Ovis aries: one gene and its partners. The protein of the gene in region 2 interacts with the protein of the main gene of each other region in a biochemical or structural test. Links are inferred from orthologs where the notes say so. Each region holds a gene or a part of one and is shown on either strand. Other genes may lie near its edges. The genes, in order: RAPGEF2, RAP1A and RAPGEF5.

Evidence for each region.
Region 1: the proteins of RAP1A (region 2) and RAPGEF2 form a complex in vitro, tested with the Homo sapiens proteins (2 studies listed by BioGRID and IntAct, with this or other methods). The link is inferred for Ovis aries from reciprocal best matches to the Homo sapiens genes RAP1A and RAPGEF2.
Region 3: of the proteins of RAP1A (region 2) and RAPGEF5, one has a biochemical effect on the other in vitro, tested with the Homo sapiens proteins (2 studies listed by BioGRID). The link is inferred for Ovis aries from reciprocal best matches to the Homo sapiens genes RAP1A and RAPGEF5.

Annotation. Positions count from the first base shown.
Region 1 is NC_056070.1:40,130,837-40,134,920, forward strand, and holds the start of RAPGEF2 (rap guanine nucleotide exchange factor 2), read right to left. Parts: upstream 2,854-4,084; 5' UTR 2,796-2,853; coding exon 2,727-2,795; intron 1-2,726. UniProt on the Homo sapiens protein: Functions as a guanine nucleotide exchange factor (GEF), which activates Rap and Ras family of small GTPases by exchanging bound GDP for free GTP in a cAMP-dependent manner.
Region 2 is NC_056054.1:89,126,616-89,130,264, reverse strand, and holds part of RAP1A (ras-related protein Rap-1A), read right to left. Parts: intron 1,772-3,649; coding exon 1,628-1,771; intron 1-1,627. UniProt on the Homo sapiens protein: Counteracts the mitogenic function of Ras, at least partly because it can interact with Ras GAPs and RAF in a competitive manner. Together with ITGB1BP1, regulates KRIT1 localization to microtubules and membranes.
Region 3 is NC_056057.1:31,870,350-31,873,998, forward strand, and holds part of RAPGEF5 (rap guanine nucleotide exchange factor 5), read right to left. Parts: intron 2,896-3,649; coding exon 2,751-2,895; intron 1,259-2,750; coding exon 1,161-1,258; intron 1-1,160. UniProt on the Homo sapiens protein: Guanine nucleotide exchange factor (GEF) for RAP1A, RAP2A and MRAS/M-Ras-GTP. Its association with MRAS inhibits Rap1 activation.

The DNA of each region.
Region 1 (4,084 bases), on a different chromosome or scaffold from region 2:
GAATGCACAACATCTGGCTAAAAATTCGGGTGACAATTTTGCTTGCTTCTCCTTACCATCCCCCCTCTATTGAAGTGCCTAAATAAATGGGAAAAATGGATTCCATTTCCCAGGTGGCTATGAAAAGCTTCCTAATTTCATTATAATTTTCAAAGTCCCTGTGTCTGCACTGAGGTTCTCCCTGCCCCCAAAACCTCTTTAACTTCTTAGCTAACTTTTTAGGTTATACAAGTGACAGCATGATTACGTCTAGGCAACTGACTGACCTGATACAAAAGTATGTCTTCTCGGGGTTTAGGAGACTGCGTTGGTGGGATTAAAAAATAAAAGGAAATGAATTTAACTATATATATATATATATATATATATATATATATATGTTTTTTTCCTCTATCTTTTTTCTTAAAGCGCCTTTCTTTTGCTTGTCATAAGAATCATACAAACTCCTCATAAATCTATCTGAAAAACAGAAGGAAGAACATCAAAACTTTCCTGATTCACGTGTGTCTGTTCATAGGTTTAATAACTTGGCTTTTATATTACAAAATTCTAACTCTCAAGTAGTCATGAAAAAAGAGAGTGCAGGAAAACTTCCAGTCCTTGCATTCACAAAGCACTCAACAGAAAAGGCACCTGATACCAAAGTTGTTTTTCTTTTTTTTACTTCTGAGTAAATTTCAAACTTTTAGAAGAAGAGTAATTCTTTTTAACAAGCCAGGTAAAGATGGGAAGCATTCACCTTACCAACTACTTTCTCTTTAAAATGATAAACATGGAGGTTTGCATTGAGCTTTAAAATTAATAGGGCGGACACTTATGAAAGTTCAAAATGTTTGCTAAGTTTCTTGAAGGTGACTTGTTCTGTGAAGGTGTGTGTGGAGGGGCTCGGGGGAGGGAGATAGATATGCTGCTTTCAGGCTGTCAGTGAAGCTTCCACACTGTTGGTGTCAGTACCAACTGGCCCACTTCTGACTCAGGCCAAGTTCTACGTTGGTCTGTTTTCACTCTGTTCTCCAGAGCTGGCACAGAAACAGGAAAGTTTAACAGTTCATTTCTTTGGCACAATCCACGCACTGTCACAGTGGACATTCTGCCTCTTTCAGGCTTGTTTGGTGACCGACTACCCCCACCACCACCACCTGATAGTAGGTATTGAGTCATTGCTATTCTAATCAACCAACCGAACACACCACTTCCCCCTCTCTAATTTCCACCCAAGGCCTCTGACATCATTTTCTGACCACCTTACTGAGTTCTAATATTCTCAGCATGTGTGATTTCACTTGGCACCTCAAACACTGAAAGGCATTGAAACACTTCACTGAAATTAGCTTTTCCATCACACTGTGGCTGAGAACCTACAGTTTCAGATGCAGAGGACTGAGTGATTGCCAACCGCAAAACAAACAGTAGGTGGAAAAGGCACAGGAGAGGCAGTGCAACAGGACCTGAGCAGCACAGTCCTTGTTTTTGGTAAAGTAATCCTTTAGAACGGGAACTTTCCGGTGACAGTGTGAACTGAATTTTCCTTGTAAAATTTATCACCCATCTTCCACACGTTTGGTAAATATGCGCACTCTAGCTACACTCCCCAGATGTGACGGCTACATCAGAAAAAAAAAAAAAATGAAAAACGATACCAGGTGCCATTCCTGGGCCTTGCCCAAAAGGCAGCCGGTGGAAGAGTCTATTTTATCCTCTTTTCCCCGCATTAAATAACAACCGTCAACGGCAGAGAAGGAGAGCATTTGGATGTGAACAGATGGCATCCAACACCTAACAAGCGAAGCCACTCTTTCAAGCACTAGATCCTAAATGTCTGATGGTCCCAAGGATCAGGAGGGCTTATTTGTCTTAAGAAGGTTGGCAGCAGGATCCCCTGGAGTCACCATCCCAACGCATGCGTCATTATCCAGTCAGCAACTACAAGCAAAAAAAAATCAAACCACCACACTTTTATACATCTCCCCCTTTCTAGTCCAACTAGAGACGACCAGATCCAACACCATCAGCAATTCCTCCACTTAAAGCCAGAGAAAAATAAGCCTGAAGGTAAACGAAACGTATAAAGGTTAACAAACTTACCTAATTTTGACAAGGTTGTGCAACACCAGAAGAATCCGCAGGGTGCCCTTCCCGGGGGCGGGGGAGGAGGTGGGGATTAGTATTTGAACATGCCTGATCTGCAATTCTGTCTGAGTAACCTAGCTATCCAACTTTCTTCCTCCCTTCCTTGGAAAGCGACATCCTTTCCCCCCCAAAAAAAGCAAAACAGTAAATATACAAACATCTCAACGTTTCACTTTAGAAGGCCACCGCGAATTTGTCTTTCGCAGAGCCCTCTAAGTTTCCTCAACACCTCTGCAAACACCCAAGAACTCTGAAGGCAGAAGGGGCCATAGGCTCGCGGAGGAAGGAAGCACTGAGACCGGTGGGACAAGAAGGACGGCCGAGGGGAGGTCACCCCCGCTGACTCGCAGGCCCAGCGAGCGGCTGGGAAGCCGGGACGCTCGGGAAAGACCTCTCTGCCCCGCCGGACAATCGCGGGAGCAGGACAGTACCGAGAGGGCAGCGAAAACAAGAAGACCCAAGAGAGGGGAAAATAACGCCAGGACGACCCGATGAAGCCACTGGAAGTTGGGGACCTAATGGGAGGCGCGGGTGCGCGGGGCAAACGGCGTCGGGAGGCGTGGGGACTGGGAGGGCGCCGCCGACACGGGTCTCACCTGGGGGGTCCTTTCGGCCGGGTTCTTCATCACCGCCTGGCGGAAGCTGTTATCCACGTAGGACGCCATCTCCCCCCGCGGCCCGGGCCGGGGCCGCTCCGCGCCCTCGGCCGCCTCCTCCCGGCCCAGCGCCGCCGCCGCTGCCGCCGCCTCCGCCCTGCGCGCTCCGCCCGCCCGCCTCCGGCCAACCAGCCAAACCGCGGCGGCGGCCGGGCGGCGGGGCCCCGGGCGCGCGGCGGGGCGGGGGGCGTGAGGCCCGAGGGTCCCCGAGGCGCCCGGCAGCCGGGAGCTCCTGCTTCCTCCGCCTCCTCCGCCTCCTCTGCGCCGCGCGGTCGGGAAGGCTCCCTCCGGGCCCTGGATCGACACGCCTCCCCGGCTCCTCTCGGGGCCGGCGGCGGCTCCTCCCGGCCCTCCCGGGCCTGAGTTATTTTTAGGGAGTTCGAGCCGCGGTGAGGGGGGAGGCCGGGGCGCGCGGGCCTCCCGCTCCTCCGGGCGCAGGGCCGCCCCCTCCTCTCGGGGTCTCCGGAAGGCACTCCGGCTCCGCGGCCGCCGTCTGAGGACTGTCTCAGGTCCGGGCGCTCCGGAGCTGAATCGCCTCGGTCTCCGGCTCCGCCGCGCCGGAGCTCTGTCTACTGAGCTCCGCCGAGCCCCCCGGCTGCCGCTGCATCCCCTCGGGCCGCCCCGCCGCCGCCGCCGCCCCGGCAGCCGCCGTGCGCTCCGCCGCCGCCGCCTCCCCCCATTGGCGCGCGCGGAGCGGCCAGAGCGCCCCCGGCTGCGCCCTCGGCCGCCTGACTCTCGGCAACTTTGTTCCCGGTCTGAGGGCGCGGAGGGAAGGGGCCGTGGGCAGCCGGGTCCGGACTCCCGGCGGCGGGCGTCGCGCGCAGCCCCCCGGAGAGTGTTTGGGCAGCGGCGACTCCCCTCCTCTTCCCCGCCTCTTCCTCCTCCTGCGCCTCCGCGCCGCCCCGCGGCTCCTTAGGGAGGAAGCGGCCTCCGGGGCCGGTCGCTTTGTGCTGCAACCATGGTGAAGAGTGAGTGACGGGTCTGCGGCCAGTGGGCTCGCGCCGCGTCGGCGGGGGCCGGGCGTCCTGCGCCCGGGCCCGCCCCCGAGCCCCCAGCCTGTAGGCCCGCCGGCCGCGCCCTCGCCGGCGAGCGGCACCTTCGGCGGCCCAGGTGAGCCGGGTGGCCCGGCGGCCCGGGCTGGCAGCGCCCTGGCGGGGCTGGCGGGGGCCCCGCTCCACCTGGCCTCGGGGAGGCGACGAGTCTCAGCGCCGGGGCGGAAGGCGCAGACTCCCCTCTCCCCACTCCCCACCCCTTCCCCGGCTTACGCCGCGCCCCCTACCCACATCCCACTCAGAATC
Region 2 (3,649 bases):
ACATCTATGAAATAGTAATTCTACAGCAGGGAAAGCTGAAACAGGAAGCATTTCACACTTCCTTTCATTACTTGGCAGTGAATTAGAAGTGAGTGTTGCTGAAGATCACAGCAGAACTTTTCCCCCATTGGTATGTAAACTTCTTTAGGGGACGACCAGTGTCTGTCCAGAAGAGTGTTACTGATGCCTAACACAGGGCCAGGCACACAGGGACATGATGAATACTCACTGAATAAATAAAATCTGTGAATTTCTTATTTTTATGTATTTATTTTAGCTGGTTTTACCTAAGAGGCAAGTTTTGACATTCTTTATTTTTGTAAAACAGAGGATGTGTATCAAGCTTAAATTTTGTTCACGCCACATGTTTAAAATAATATGGTCATTGTCTATAACCATAATCTCAGTCAAGAAAAAGAGACCGAAAGGACCAAAGGCTGGAGAGGAATGGCAAGCAAAAACACACAGAAGACTCTGACAACCTAACCCAGTCTTAACTTTCACCTGTGTGGTGTGCTGAATTCTGACTGACTGCCTGTGATCCTATAAATGGCAAAAGAAAGAAAGTGAAAGTAAAGTGGCTCAGTCATGGCCAACTCTTTGTGACCCCCACGGACTGTAGCCTACCAGGCTCCTCTGCCCGTGGGATTTTCCAGGCAAGAGTACTGGAGTGGGGTGCCATTTCCTTCTCCAGGGGATCTTCCCGACCCAGGGATCAAACCCAGGTCTGCCGCCTTGTAGGCAGATGCTTTACCATCTGAGCCACCAGGGAAGTCCTAAAAATAAATGGCAAGCACACTGGCAAATGAGAACATTTGCTCTACTAGGAAAGGAAAGAAGTCTATTTCATTTTTTTGTTTGTTTTAAAGTCTGATGTTAAAATTAACAAAAGCAAGGGAATCTCTTAATATTTTGCTTGGATGTGGTGGTGGCAATGGGGAACTGCACTCATCTTTTAGGGATCCAGTAAACTATTGGCCCTTTACACTCAGGCAGACAAGCTCACTTGTTACGCATTCCTGTCCCCAGCTGTGTTCTCAGGATAGCGGAATGCTTAAGTCATGGACAGAAAAAGCCTTGTACACCTGCTCGAACAGGCCTAAGAGACAGGGTGAATTATAGCTCTGTATCCATCCACTCACACAGATTCTTCCTTTTGAGTCATACACCAAAGGGAAGCAGAACTCAAATTACATGACGTCTTTCTGTACAACATAAGTTCATTATAGTAACTACCTTGATTTCTGTATTTTTCTACTGAATTTTACAACCTATTTACACACATCTGCATAGTTAATTGTTGTAAGACAAGGGTGATGTGCCAATTTTCACATACCACTTTCTGGTATATCGTTGAGAGGCTTAGCAGGACTTTAAAAGACACTTTCTTTAACTTAAACTTCCCCTTTGCCAACAAGGTAAGTATATGTGTTCTCATTATAGCCATCAAAGTGACTTTATACAGAGAAGGAATATAGTTTCTAGGAATTAGTGTTTTCCATAAACTAATGAAGACTGCTTAAAAGGGCACTGCTTTTTCTTTTTAAAAAGTTGTTTTTGACTGTTAGCTTGAAAGAAGGGAAGCTAAAAAGGCATTTATTTGTGCTGCCTCACAGCTGTTGGTTACCTCATTAACGTTGATCTTTGACTTTGCAGAAGATTCTAAAAAGGCACAGTTACACCACTGTCTTGCTAAATTCTGACCCTGTTCTTTGCCAACTACTCGCTCGTCTTCCAGGTCACATTTATTGCCAACCAAAATCATTGGAACCTGTGGAAAGGAAAAAATATATAATAAGCAACTAACATACTTGTTACTCAGCTTCTTATAAGCAAGCAACTACCCTCCACCAACTAAAATGTGTTAGGATTATTAGTTTCACCAAAGAAAAGTGAAAAGTGAAAGTCACTCAGTCATGTCAGACTCTTTGCGACTCCATGACTGTAGCCTGCCAGGCTCCTCTGTCCATGGAATTTTCCAGGCCAGAATACTGGAGTGGGAGCCATTCCCTTCTCTAGGGGATCTTCCCGACCCAGGTCTTCCACATTTCGGGCAGATTCCTTATCGTCTGAGCCACCAGGGAAGCCCATAAGCTTCACCAAGTGCTTTAAAAAAGGTGTATGTATGTGTGTTGGGGAAAAGACGAAAGTGGAGAGATAGGAAAAAATGGACAAGATTCTACCACACTGATCTGCTAAAATCACTTTAAGAATATAATCCCCAAATTCTCATGTGCACTCATGCTAATGGCTGAATTCCAAGTAGAAAAATGTGAAGGAAAAGGAAACGCCTGCAATACAGAGAAGAACATACTCAATGGTCTGGGTGTGTCTTAAGTGCCTCAACTCACAGGACCAACAAACGTCAAAAACACGGCCCAACCAACACAGCAGTAAGTTTTACTTCTAGGTCTGAACACTAGCTTAGGTGAGACATGAAGGGAGAATAAGACTAAACATAAAGCCACTGAGCAGCTACGTCTTCATCTATGATTCGATCTTCAGTTTATTACATGGGATAAAGAGATTAACATTATCAGAGTTCAGTGATTTGCATGTAACTGCCTACGAAAAAAGAACTCTCGTAGATGAATCAGTCATGGGAAGAAAGAGAACTATTCATTAGGTTATGGCTGGTCATGAGTCATATGGTGCAAATCCCTCCTGCCTACAACATTACCCAGTTATGGTGCTGAGCAGGTGCCTGTGTCCCATTAATAATGAGTGAGAACACACAGAAACAGAAGAGAAGGTACACATGAAATTTGATACCCTAACTTATACAACTTTTGAAAAGGAACTTTGTAACTCAAAACTGAGACAAACATGTAAAACACAGATTTCATCTTTGCAAAAAGGCACAACGTTATTCATCAAATAAGAATTCTAAAACAGTATATTTTACCACAATAAAAAATTAACATTAAAAAAATCTAAAACAAAAAAATTATAAAAACTCAGTTAAGTAAAATATTTAACATAATTCAAAGGAAATAGCTAAGTAAAAACTGTACAGAGAGAATTTTAGAAATGGGAACATAGCATTATGGTTCTTGATAATGTTCTTTGAACACTGGTTTTGACACTAACTAACTACCACCTTTCCAAGCAAAACCTGAGTCCCCCTTCTGCTACCAAATATTCTTTGACTCTTTTTTCACTACACTTGTGACCCATGTAGCACATGGTGGGTCCTAAGTGCAGCAGAGAAAGAAGAACTTTACATACATGTCCTTCATGTCATGGGCTTCATTTCTAACCATCTCATTGGCATATCTGTTGTTTAGTTGCTACGTCGTGTCTGACTCTTTTACAACTCCATGGACTGTTGCCTGCCAGGCTCCTCTGTCCATGCAATTTTCTAGGCAAGAATACTGGAGTGGTTTGCCATTTCCTTCTCCAGGGGCTCTTCCTGACCCAGGGACTGAGCCCGTGTCTCCTGCTTGGCAAGTGGACTCTTTACCACTGAGCCACCTGGGATGTCCTCTCAGTATATTATCTGTGGGTAAATTTAGAAAGCTTAAAATTGTTTTTGGTTACCAGGCCTCTTTTAGGCACAAGGTAGATACCCTCCGAGTTCCTATTGATAGAGAAAATGGATATTTTATATTTGGCCACAGAGACATGGCAATACGCTATATATACAGAG
Region 3 (3,649 bases), on a different chromosome or scaffold from region 2:
TAGATCTATTTCCAAGTAGGGTATTACTTTGATGTAAATGTTTCTTTCTTTTTCATTTTTGCTTCATTTGCTTGTTCATATTTTCATATTAGTCTTAGGCGATAGAAATTTTTTACAGTGTAGAATGTGATGATAAAAGACGACCACCAAAATTCATCACATTCATTATTAACAACCTGTAGCTCATTTCTGAACTTCTAAATGTGTGATTTTCATGCCTGGGACAAAGGTTTACACACGATTTGTTTACACCCTAAAATTATTTATATAGCCTTCACTGCACAGGATCTTCCTTTACTAAATACAAGTCAGGCTTGAAGTCTCTGACAGTGTGAAAGGCTTGAATTAACATTTTCTATGAGAAGCACCATTTGTGACTGCTGAAATCTTAATATGTTTATCACAACTTGACAACAGATGTGTTTTATGTTTAAAAAGTAGAAACTACATTGTAAATCAGAGAATAATATTTCCCTTCAGATTACCTTTGCAGGTATATCTGAAAACTGAACAATGACTCAATGTTTTCATTTACCAAAATTATGAAGAAGAGTTAGTGGTAAATCAGAGTAAAATCAGCTATTAGCAATTTGAAAGACTAATGATAGACACCTCAGTGATACCTGGACATGACAAAAGTCAGAGTAAGTACTTCCCTTCAATTTTTCTAAATTGATAAAGAAACCTCAGGGAATCCATAAAATGAACTTTAAACATGTGCCATTTTGCTGGGTTTGTTTTGCTGGGTTTGCTGGTTTGCTGGGACTTGTTTATAAAACGTTTTTTCCTATCCTATTAGAGATAGCTATGAACCCTGAAATGACAAGTTAAATATTTACACTTATAAAAATAAATAATAATTCATTAAATAATTGTTTTTATCCACCCAGACTATCATGGCTCAACTGGTTCCTATCATATTGAACAGGATTTTTTAAAAAATAGCCAATAAGCTTAATTTAGTGTTCACTCATCTTGAGACATAAAAACAAAATACTTATTTACTACTAGGAAACCTAATGAATCGAGATAAATCGAGATAATCGAGATAAATCCCAGATCTGAAATGTTCAAAAGGATCTTTCTGAGACACCTCCAATTCTGTCATATGTGTTGCTGCTTTCTCTTACTATATGTGATGAGGAAAATGAAACACTTACTGACGACGGTGCATTCCAAGTATCTTCTGAAATTCTTTCAGCTCTTTTTCAAGGATTGGGTATTCATAGACATCATCCAGCACATTCCTGTATATGGTCTGGGGTGGGGTGGGGTGGGGGCAGAAAATGGCAGGTGAATTGGTCTGGTGTCTATTTTGTAAGGATTAAGACTCAAACAGTGGGTAACCTGATCAGAGAGATAAGTGGAATCCAGAACAATGCAAGGGGTTAAACCAGGCACCAAAGAGCTCCTGAGTGGGGGTTCTACCCTAGGGCCCCTTGCTCAACTGTGTGGCTCTCTGGGGCCACAAAACTCTTAGGGGCGATGGGTAGGTAGGAGCTACTCAAAATTCCCAGGCCTGTTCTACAATGTATTTTTAGAAATAAAAGCCACACAATCATTTGGGTTGGAGAAGGCAATGGCACCCCACTCCAGTACTCTTGCCTGGAAAATCCCACGGATGGAGGAGCCTGGGGGGCTGCAGTCCATGGGGTCGCTAAGAGTCGGACATGACTGAGCGACTTCACTTTCACTTTTCATTCTCATGCATTGGAGAAGGAAATGGCAACCCACTCCAGTGTTCTTGCCTGGAGAATCCCAGGGACGGGGGAGCCTGGTGGGCTGCAGTCTATGGGGTCGCACAGAGTTGGACATGACTGAAGTGACTTAGCAGCAATCATTTGGGAAGGAAAAAGAAATCTGTTGAATTAAACTAACCAGTTGTTTTGAAAATAACAATAGTTTAGTCAGAGACTTGGTTTAAACCAGTTTTTAACTGGATGTCTAAAGAGATTTTAATTTTGAAATCAAAATGACTTCTTTCATGAAGACAAAGTCAGTTTAGACACTTGCCTCTTCTGAAATAGAACTCTTCCCCGCACGGATTCCACTGCACCCCTTATCTGAATTGACCTGCACAGCTAACATGCTTTTGGTGGCTAAAAGAGTCCAGCTGTCTACAAACTGTCTCCAGAGAATCATCTGTGTTGAAAAGACACGGCAGCCTACTCATGATTAGAAACACGTATCAGCTTACCTAATTTAAAATGTAAATCTAGGTTTAGCATCAATTTTATAAGTTATGATTGTTTTAAATGTCTCAAAATACACCAGGTCATGAAAAAGTTTCATAATGTATACATTGTCAATATATATGTTCTTATATGATAAAAATGATGTTTTATCCCACTATTGTAGATATGGGACTGGTTAGTTTAAACCTATAATACATCTCAACATATTAGGCAGTATCAAATTTTAAAGTATGTTTTATTTAACCTCCCTGAATTATTTCATTTGCAATCAAAATTCTCATGACATGTAAAATAAATAACCTTAAATGAGTGACTTTAAAACTTGCCTTCTACATTTATTCACATAGAATTATTTAAAGTTAAAATTTTCTAACTATGTAAATAATATTTGGCTTCAGAAGTCAAAACAAACAAATACTTTGAATCATAACTTCAATATTACAAACAAGTTAGAGGACTGTAACATACAAATGAGATTACTGAAACGCACAACTGAAAATAAAATCAGTCATTCAGCATCAAAGAGTAACTGAATAACTGGAAGTTTTACATTACCTTTAAAAACATTTTTGAATGTTCATCTTCATGTAACCAGTCTTTGTACAGAGCAATCCACTGGGAAACAAGATGCAAGACCTTCCGTTTCCGACAAGGAACGTCTGAATTTTCTTCTTTGCCTTGATACTTCTTAGCAGAATAGGTGCAAATAGTTAAGAAAGAATACTGCATTGTTGCAAGTAAAAATATGAAGAGATCCATTTATTATTTTCACAAAATATGTTACAGCACGTTTTTGAAAAAAATCTACAAGTATCTGTATACGTAGGAAGAAAAGAACATGTGTAGGGAAAGTAACAGGTGTGCCCTGAAAAAAGCAAAAGGGAACCCAGGAAAGTGATTTACATACACTTGGTGGCAGGCCATGAGGATAAGGACTGGATGGTCAAACTGACAAATGTATCACACAGTTCCACAAGCAGTGCGGGTTAATGTCACTTTGAAGAGATACCAGATGGGCCATTAATCACAAGGGTGGCTTCAAGAGATCTGGCCTCACTACATAGGTGGACACTGTTTCCATCAAGATGACATCAGAAGTAGGCCACGTACACTTTGATCCTCAGAAATTTACATTCTAAAGTAGTGCCAAATGAGCATAGATTTCTGGAGCATAATTTGTGGTGTGATTCAACTGTCCACCCCCAGGAATTTACATGGAAAAAAAAAAGAAATGGATAAGTGTACAAATGTAAGTAAAAAGGGCTGCTAATTTAATTTTCCCTGAGATAAAAAAAATTAAATAGGTGTAACTTAAAGGCTTCAACCACTGAAAACAGTTAAATAAATTACTGCATATCCATTTAAAGGACTCTTTTGTAGCCATAAGGCTGATGGTCCAGCACTCTATTTGCTGACACAGGGCATCCACAATATACTGTTAATTAGGAAAGCAA